Linked DNA regions of Drosophila melanogaster. The gene in region 1 interacts genetically with each later gene. Each region holds a gene or a part of one and is shown on either strand. Other genes may lie near its edges. The genes, in order: ara and Ada3.

What was found.
Region 2: of ara (region 1) and Ada3, changing one suppresses a phenotype caused by changing the other (phenotypic suppression), as found in Drosophila melanogaster (one study listed by BioGRID).

The regions. Positions count from the first base shown.
Region 1 is NT_037436.4:12,578,513-12,583,768, reverse strand, and holds the start of ara (araucan), read right to left. Parts: upstream 3,098-5,256; 5' UTR 2,667-3,097; coding exon 2,616-2,666; intron 1-2,615. UniProt on the Drosophila melanogaster protein: Controls proneural and vein forming genes. Positive transcriptional controller of AC-SC (achaete-scute). May act as an activator that interacts with the transcriptional complex assembled on the AC and SC promoters and participates in transcription initiation.
Region 2 is NC_004354.4:18,083,898-18,089,000, reverse strand, and holds Ada3 (transcriptional adaptor 3), read right to left. Parts: upstream 3,241-5,103; 5' UTR 3,090-3,240; coding exon 1,419-3,089; coding exon of another isoform or gene 1,323-1,418; 3' UTR 583-1,322; downstream 1-582.

The DNA.
Region 1 (5,256 bases):
GTCTGGAATCTGAAGACTTTAGTCTTCTGGGCGAAAATATCGACGCACCGAACCCATAATTAAGTTGAGTGCTCCGCCCGTTGGACAGCTACAAATTGATCGAAGTGCCCAGCAAAAGGTCATAATATCTGGGCAGCAACAATTTTAGCCCGGCTAACACGGCTTCTGTGGCCGAATTCGCGGTCAAAACTTAAATGCAGCCAGCAGAATGCATAATTATTCCGCGTCATTAACATAATCTGACAATAGAACCATCTTCTTCGCCCGAAAATCGCAGCACATGCATATTATTTTATAATTATCAGATGCGATCGATTCGATTCGAGATTGATCCCCTCGAAATTCAGCAGGTGAGTGATCTACTAGAAGGTCGCTCAAGTCCGATCATAATTAATAAAGGAAAAACATATTTTTTTTTGAGTCGTGCTGAAACGCACAAATAATAGAATTTCGAGGCCAAGACCGCTGACTATATATAGGGACATCGAAAAAAAAAATGTGAAAACTCACAGCCATTTATCAAAATTTTACAAATGAATGATTCAGTTGTTTTACTTTTTTGACTTTTTTTTTTGTATTCCACCGTGCCGCGTGATTTTAATTAGTAAAAAGCAAATACATTTCGCTCGATTCTGTATGGGAATGTTCAGCGATCGAAAGGAGGCAACGCGTTCCCAGAGTTTCTCGGCAAACGCAACAATATGAGAATTATGACAACTAATCTGATAGGCGACACCATATAGGGAGCTCTATGCGCCTGCCAGATTCCTCAGCTCCTTGAGCGAATGCATTATTCATGAGGTAGAGGACTCCATTCCAGCAGTACCTTTCCGCTCTCGGAGGAAGCGCCAGTGGTCCAGTGGGCCATGTGAATTGGCCACGTCTGCGGATGGAACGTGGAACTTTCGTTGTTCGCAGTTGGAGGATGCAGACGACGACGACGACTGGCAGGCGACAGTGCGCAGATAAGATCTGCTGGCCATGTGTGTGCCCAGTGAGCAGTAACCAGTAACCAGTAACCAGTACCCAATGCCCAATGCCAGATACCCAACTTCTGAGTTGCACTGGCTTTGGAAATTTCTGTGAATCGCAAACGCAGCGATCTAATCGCAGCTTGTATCTCGTGGGTCCACCAAAGCGGCCAGGCTACCGCGATTCTGCATCCGAGTGCCTCCCCCGACAATCTCCTCCAGATGACCAAGTTGATAGCACCGGACTATAAGCGCCACTTGGAGCCGCACTCCGCTCATTCTCCTCACTCCCCAAAACGAAGCCAATGTAAAGTAGATCAGAGTGGAGCCAAGTCATTGGTCCATCGATCGTGTTCGTTGGGATTCGGATGCTATCCTATCTGCCATCTCCAGATTCAATGGATGCTCCTCACGTAGCCAGGAGGGCATTCCCAGAGCCTGCCCTCAGCTGTCACTTTACGGTTATGAATTTTATGATTTACGATCGCCGCAATTGAATTTTATTGACTTTTCAACAGTTTCACCTGAGCGTGCCTCAATCGGCACCTCCCATCGTCTTGGCCTTCTGATTGCCAAGGCTTTTCCCTTTTTTCTTTTCCTTTTTCTTTAGTTTTTTTTTTTTTTTTTTGCTTTCGTTTTCGACTTTAGTTAATTGGGCTCGTGTGGTCCGAAATGGGAAAGACGCCAGAGTTCTTTGGAGGAAGAACCAGGCAATTGGTAACCAAGTATTATGGCCTGGGAAATTAAAGTTTAGCCCAGGCAAACGCAATCAATAGGAAATTTAATTTACTCTAGGCCTTTCGAAAGCTTCTACAACTTTTGTAATTTATCACAATATTTTACAAATATTTTAGTTGCACCTGCAAGCCGCGCAATTTTGTGCAACATCTTTAAAACGCCGAATCGTTTTTTGTGTGAATTTTGAAGGTTGACAAAAACGCCTGATTCCTCGGAGTGGCTTTTTCTCAGGCCATTTATCAGCCATCTGATTTATTATGGTTTTTTGCTGGCCTGCCACCAATTTACTGTCATAAACATGGAAAAAGTTTGCCTCAAGCAGCTGTTTTTGCTGCTTAGTGAAAAGTCCAAAAGCGCTACAATCAAAGACTTTTAGCGGTTTTGCCCTATAGTGGGTCCTCAAGATCAAATAATCGGATAACTTTGACTGGAGTCGGTGGAAGTACTCAGATGAAAGTTGGTGGTAAGGATTGCTTAAAAAACACACAAATAGAATTTAAACCCAACCAAGCTTTTTTAGGAAAAAAATTTTAGAAAAAATATTCAGATAACGGGTTCAGTTTTAATGATGGAACGCACTCCAGAAAAGATAGTTGTGATTATAAATAGAAAAATTAAATATGTATATGAAAAAATATGATTTTACAACGCTTTTTGCTTGTGACCTCTGTTTTTAATACCTCCAAACATAAAAATTATGAATCTTTAAGGCAATCATAATTACAATAATCAGTTGATTATATCAGTCGTATGAATAATATTGTATCTAAATAGGTTCCCATATCTGCAGTTAATAAACATTTTCATTCCTCTAGTTATCTTGAGATCTCTTGCTACTTAATGAATATGAATAGCCATCATATAGTATATACATCTAGATCAAATTTAGTTAATTAGAGGACCCACCTGCGAGGCCGACGGAAAGCCTCCGTATCCGAATTGTGTGTAGGCAGCCATTTCGCTATATGACTATACGACTATATAAGACCTAGTCTTAAGATACTCTCTCTCTCTCTCTCTCTCTCTCTCTCGCTCGTGGGCAGTCTGCTGAAGGATATACGGTGAAGCTGCTACATCAAATGATGTGCTTATCGGGGGTTTAACAGCTCAGTTTCGATTGGGTCTGTTCACAGTGGGCACTGGCGATAACGACCATAACGACATTGGGCCAACCGAAAGTATCTCGTGGATTTGTTTGGTATTTGCAGTTGCAGCTGTCACTTGTGGTGGATTTTTGTTTATATATATTTTATTTTTTTTTCTGGCTAACAGCACTCGCAAAACGCGGCGGCAACGAAAAATCGACGAAATATCGACGGCAAAAACGCGGCGCTTCAGCACACGCTCCCTTTCAGATGTGCACCTTATAACGTTCGAACACGAACTGGTTGCGAATGCCGTTGCTGTTGGCCGTGTTGCTGCTGCTGTTGCTGTTGTTGTTGCTGCGCTGTTGGGGCGCATTCCGCTGCAGTTGGCGCGGAAGCGGGACAACAATATGCTGCCTCCCCCCATCGAAAGAGAAACGGAATGCCGCTCGCCTTGGAGCGAGCAACAAGAATAACGGAGTCGGCAGACTGGAAGTGTAAGCACTCTAGAGCAACGCCCACCGTTCTCCGGTTTTGTCTGGTGTTGGTGGTGGCATTTGGCCGGTCGCTCTCTCCGCAATTCCAATCCGATTCCCCGCCAGTGACTCGTATTCGCGGCTCACTGGAAGTGAGGCCAGCGCAACCACCAATCGTAGGGCTGCATGAGCTTCGGCTGGCTGATTTAATGGACAGGTGCGAGGTCGCCAGGCGAAAGAAAGCAAAGAAAAGAAAATACAAATGAAATGAGCGGATGGTGAAGGGAGAGGAAGTGGGTAGGGAGCGGGACGCATTTTCACAACTGTCGATGGTCTCTTGTTTTACCCACAATTCCCGGGCAACGCCCATTTGTTTTGTTTGGCTAGTCATTTGTTTGTTTACTTTTCACAATTGCGCGCCCATCGACTGGAAGTGCGCCACCAGCGATCGCCAGCTGGAAGTGGCAACAAAGTGCTGCGATGGCCAAAAGTGGCGACACAAAAGCGTTAATAAGATCAGCAAATTCCAAGACACTCGCACTGTATTTATCGTCTGTCATTATCTTTATCGCTGCATTGCACTTTAGTTAACTCCCATTATCGATCCTCACTAATTAATCTCTCCTAATTCGGGTTTAAATGAAACATTTCCAGCGATCTTTGTTTAAATATCATTCCACTTGGATACCAGTTACTTAAATTATCAACAAGATTTTAACTTTTTATGGAAGGAATTAATATCCTTACTCAAACAGGCAATCATACCATTAATTCTTGGGATTTTTAAATATCAACCAGATTTTTACTTAGCTTAGGTTATGTTATTAGTAATCATAACATATATTAACTTTGAGACATTTTAAATTTTTTATAAAATGTGTATTGCATTTTTTTACTGCAATTGCTTTTTAACAGACACAGATCATTTAAGTATTTTCAACATTTGCGATACTTTGGCGAACAATATTTATGGCAATTAAAATACTTTAATTATCTAACTAAACTAATTGTTATGCTACTTAAATATGCTAGCCAATTTAATTTCGCCACTTAAAATATCTTCTAGAACATAAGCAATTTTAATTGCAATTAAATAGCACTTGACGTGTATCCGAAAAACAAGAAAAGCCTGACCTAATTTTCTTTTTGATAAATTGCATGCAACGTATGTTTCTGCACTATGATACATTAATTGAAAAAAAAAATTGATTTTTCTAAGATATTTTTAGAGATAACTTAAACCTCGTGTGTTTTGCAGAAAGTTCGGTCTTTTAAGAAATCATAAAAAATATATATTATACTGTCAAATTTAGGGCAAGGAATGGCCCACTTTTTCACTTACACCATATTTATTATGAACTTTTAACTATATTTATAAAATTCCATAAGTTTAGTGTGTAAAAGGTACCCGCATATTGCACATGAGCCCGTGAAAATGCTGGATTTGGAAAAAAGTTTTTGCTATTAATGCGCACTAACATATTTGGACATCCGCTTTACGATCTATTTTTTACGATTACGATTCTCCGGCAGGATGAATTCTCCGGTCGAGGACACGCATTCCGGAAATGGAGAGTCCGCCGTGGATGTGATGCGATGTGATGGGGGAGATGAGGTAAACCTCAAATGTTTTTGCGGGTGCCGCGGATGTTGGCAAGCTTGTTTGCAGCGTGTTTTTGTTTGTTCTCCTGTTCTTCTCTTCTTCTTTTTTTTGTCGTTTGTTTATTTTTATGATAATGTAATAAAAGCAAATTAACCTATAAAACCGAAAAAGTGCGACTTACACGACGGAATTGCGCCATAAGGTCTGGGCGTGTCCTCACCTCGCTCCGCATAAGATATATGTGTGTGGATGAAACGATCCACGTGGTGTGGCTGGAAGTGTGGGTAGAATAGAGCAGTATGGAGTGGCTATGGTGAGTGGATATGGGTGGTACTGGGGGTGGTGGCACCCCACCCACCGCGGCCCAGCAGCGCCGGAAAATG
Region 2 (5,103 bases), on another chromosome or scaffold:
CCGTCCGAGCTCCCACCTTACATTTAGTATACGAAAGACTGTGACTGCGTTTGTGATACGGGATCGGGTGGCGGGCGAAAGGGATCGACCAGTCAAGCAAGATGCACCGCGGCATACATGAAGTACAATGAATCTTTATACCCACAAACATCATCTAGCATACATTCAGAGGAAGGCCACTGACGACGTGTTCACCCAAGACTAAAAACTTGCACATATTAGAAGATCAGATTTGACTGCCATTTGCTACGTATAATAAAGTTTGTTTCTGGATATATTTGCCTGGCGATTAGCGTTCTAGAGATAGCCAATCCGCGTGGCCCGGAAGGGCTTCCTCCGATCGAAGATGGCCGGCTCGCTTGTTTGGCTTTAATTAGCCGTACGCTGGAGTTGCCGACTTTGATTGCGCCTTATCGGCTGGGCAAACAAGATCGAAGCAACGGCAGAGGATTCCCCACATCCGCTGGAGTTCACTTGCCCGCTTCGTCGGCCAGATCGAGCTCAAAGCGTACGCAGCGTTCGCCCAGCGCGGTGGTTTCTCTCCTCCCAAACTCACTCCCATGGTGGAAAATTCTGTGCTTTACTCTCGATAGTGACGACTTTATTGCCGCGCGATAACTTAAGCTATACAAAGTGTATGTATTTGGGAGTGTTAAATAGGGTGAATCAATATTTATAGTTGCGAAAGACATGAGGAAAACAACGTGCTCGTAAAATTTTGGGAAATTCCAGTAGCGGAAAGTTTTTCAGTTCATTTAGCGAATAATGCGAATCTCACCCTCCACTTTTATGTACACAAAATCAAATTTAGCATTTAGCATGTAAAATCTACGGATATCCATTTAATTTTCAGGCAATTACAAACAAATTGGCAAAAAACTGTAGGCTTACAGAATACGGAATACGTTACTAAGCAAGGAAAGGGAAATTATGATTTTGTAAAAGAACAGTTTAAAATACGCAAACGCTACTCTCCGCCACTTGAAGATCTTATCTAAATAATTAATTTCACTTTAATCTTGAACACTACATTCTATGAGCTAATGTATCTTTGTTAATGTACAGTCTGGTGACGAAGATAAGAATACGGGTTTGGAAGCTAGTCGAAAACGACTCAAAAGTGGCGTTCGATTTGGGGAAAACGAATGCCAAAACTCGAGGAAAACTTATGCAAAACATTTTCCGCCACCATGAGCGCATCTTCCCAAAACGTCCACAACTTGGATTGCGGACACTAGAGGCTACGTGTACGTGTCGAATAGCGTGGCTAATTTACAGTCTGGCGAAATGAAAGGAGTGGCGAGTAAGGAGGAGCAGCTCCTTCAGACGCACTGCAGCTTGAGGCTAGCGTCGCGGACCTGCCTCTTTGCCTGATGCATGGCCATTAGCTGGCACCAGCCCCAGGCCAGGCTCCTGTCCTACATCTTTGGCTCTAACAGGGAGTTGCCGGAGCCGCCGATGCAGGGCAGATGCATCTGCATACGCTCCAGCTGATCCGCAAGTAGGCGCTGCTCGTTGGTCAGCCGCAGTATCTCCTGCTTCTCCTCGATGGTGTGGCCCTTGCGCTTGGCCCGATACTGCAGCATTCGCTTGTAGCACTCGAGTATCTCCTGGTCCACCATGTCCAATTTCTGTTTGATGGCAATGCGCTTGATTTCCTCACTGGCAACGGCACGCAGTCGCTTCAATTCCTCGCTGTTAAACTGCGAAATGGTGCTGATTTCGGTCGTTACGCGCTTGATCTCCATCAGCACCTCGTCCACGTCTTCGTGGGCCGCAAACTCACTGGCATCGATCAGTCCGTTCTCGATGAGAGTCTTCTTCAGGCGCTGTTCGATGCCCACGCCGTGTTTCATCATGGCGAGAGATCGAAAGTTCCCGGAAGCAGCTGCTGCGGCAGCATTTGCCGAGGACGAGGAGTGCGAGTGGGTGTTCTCGTTGCTGCTGCTCGTGGTGCTGTTGCTGTGCTCGCCCACGGCGGCCTGTTCGCTGGGCAGCGTCATCAGGGACTCCTCCATTAAGGCGGACACCAAACGCTGGGTGAGTGGACCAGTGATGCTCTCATCCACCATGCCTTCGGCCTTTTTGAGCATTCCGCTGGAATTGTTCGATTTAATTCGAGCTCCGCCCGGCTGCAGCGCCTTTATATCCTCCTGGGCCCAAACTGTGGAGTAGTGGGGACCCAGAGGTGGCACTGGCGGCACCAGTGGACCCCAATACTGCTCCAGCAGGTCATCGATTAGGCGCAGATCCTCGTTGGTTAGAGGCATGCAGTAGGGCTCCACGGATAGCCAGAACTTGTTGGGCGTATCGTTCTTGGGCACCGTCATTTTCGGTAGCTGCGGCAGCGGCTGGTGATGCGGCAGCACGGATCCAGAGGCATTGGCGGCCGCCAGTGTGGGCAGATAGTCCATGCTGTCGTCGGTGTGCACGACCAAGGGGCTGTTCTTGGCCTGGTGCTTCGAGGTGCCGCCGGAAACGCCCTGTTGCTTGAGAATGGTCATCGAAGAGTGCTTTTTGCGCACGCCCGTTGGCTCATCCCGCTTGCGCTTCGATTGGCTAGAGGATGAGGCGCCTCCGCCGCCCAGCGGGCTGCCCAGACTCGTCGACGAGTTGCTGCCGATGCCCAGCAAGCCGTTGAGCATGCTAGCCGGACAAGGTGGCGATCCAGGCACACGGTCGAGCTTTCTTCGATCCTGGCGCTTCTCATCCTTGTCGAGGCTATCATACTCCGCTTTCAGGACGCGCGTGCGCAGCGCCACATTGGAGAGCATCTGTTCCAGCTCCAGTTGCACTGCATCCAGATCCTCGGCCGCCAAATGATCATCCGCCGGACGCTGCAGTGCCGCTGCAATGGTGGGCAGCAATTTGGGCACGTCCCGAGTGCGAATTATTGGTATAACGACGCCGCCGGGCGTGGCCAGCACCTCGGAGTCCAGGAAGGTGCTCGTTGGGGCGGATTTGCCGCCACCTGTGCCATTTGTGGGCAGTTTTCCAGCTCCTCCGGATGACGCAGAGATGCCAAAGCCACCGGAACCGAGCGAACCACTGAAGTGGGCCAGTTTGATATTCTTCAGGTTCGCACTCATGGAACGCGACTGCGACTGGTTGGGGACCTGTGTGTTAGCTAGATTGCGGATATATTTGCTGTTTTTCCTGCTTTTCTTGTGTTGTGAAAATCGCAATTTGTTTTGCGTCGATATGGCAGTGTGACCGTAGCGGAAGACGGGTAAATACTAATGTACAAGATGGTAAAATACTGGAATGGGCTACACGCGCGGGTTATGCACAGTGGGCCAAACAAAAAAAATTCTCATGAGTAGCTAAATATTTATAATTTAAGACATACTTAACTAGCATTTCATTAATTAACTTTAGCAGTAATTGAAACTGTTTATTTGACTTTATTTCAGCAATTGAAGATAACGGAACATTATCGCATGGATACATTTTCATACCACTTGATTTTATCCACAAAATAGTGAAAAATACTCTCTGCAACTATAACAGTGATCGTGCACAACAGAGCTGCTCCAGCGCTGTGCAACACTGGTGGCCGCGTAGCGCGCGTGCTTACCAATACTTTGCTTTTTTGTTCAGTTCTTTGTTGTTGTTTGGCGTTCGCATTTCGCCCGTCGTCGTCTGAATTTTTTAGTGATATGCGCGCTATTTCGGTGATAAGCAGTGTACTTAACAAATCAGCGACTGTTGACAATTTGTAATGGCCAGTGGGAGCAGCTTGCGATGTTAGAGTAGACCCATTCCCCCCCTTCCGCAGACGAACTGCAAGTGCAAACTGCAGTGTATGTATGTAATTTTATGTAATTGAACACCCATTTCCCAAACCCCACCCCCCCAAAATCCCACAAAGCATGCAAACACATCCAAACATTTGAACATCCAAGCACCCAAAACATCGAAGCATCCGATAATCTCGGACTGGTTGCCTCCAATTGCGCCTCGTTTGTCCAATTGTGAGGCGCAAATCACAAGACAAGTCGAATTGACGCTCAGCCGCCACGCCCCCTTCGCTGCTCACGACCACACCCCCCCTCCCCGCGGGCGGGAATCAACGAAAATCAAAAGCCAACATCCAGCGATTCAGTTCGGTTTAGTTGGGTTCAGTCGTGCCGACATATGCACAAATATCCCAGCTTCAAAACGCTGTTTCCCTTCGATTTGACTACACTTTCCCAACTGGGCATTTTCGCTATCAGAAGAGGTTTGCAATGCCACCTTTAAGCTATGATCTATCACCGAACTGCAAAAGTTTTTTATTTTCGTTCTACGCCAATTAACTTAACTTCGACTTGTCTATTTTACAATCAAAAAGTGCGAAGTGTATTGTTTAAGTTAAAATTCGATCCCCGAGAGTTTCGGTTCTAAAGATCCTAAAATAAACAGTGAAAACAATTTAATATAAATGAACAGCGGACAAAAGTGTTTTATTTAAGCTTGGTTTCATGTTTTGTATTCCATAAGATGTGTACATTAAAGAGAAGTGATATATTCGTTTCGAGTTTCTTTTGTTTGTTCTTCAATACAAAGATAAATACAAGCTTCCCCCATCTATTATCTCAAGTAAAAAGTGATCATCAGTCTATATAGTTCTTTGTTTCTTTAGTTAATTCTTTGTTTTTGCTATTTGCAATCTTGGCAATGTGAATATCATCTGGTAGATAGAACAACTGAAAATCGTAGCTAATTTGAATTTATATCTCGTCATAGAAAGGATAGTGTACACACAAACACGTTTGTTTTGCGAGATAATCCCATCGTGGATTGCACATAATATCTAGAACAATATGTCGAACAATAACCGCGGGCGGGTAAGGGTATTTGCAGTGCCGCCAAAACCTGAACAAACCCTCCGCTCTTGTTTTATTGATCAAATATTTGCGTCTACGTGTGTCGTCGTCGTCGTCGATGTGTTCCGTTCCGGCGATGTCTCAGCGATTATGGGGCTTTTGTGTGTCAGCTGTTGTTTGAAAACGGCACTAGCACATGTTTTATAAGCCCAGTCGCAGGCCAGTCGGCTCGTTATCAGTGCCAATTAAACCGGAGAAGAGAAATCTGTAACCACCGGCGATAGTGGCGATAAGG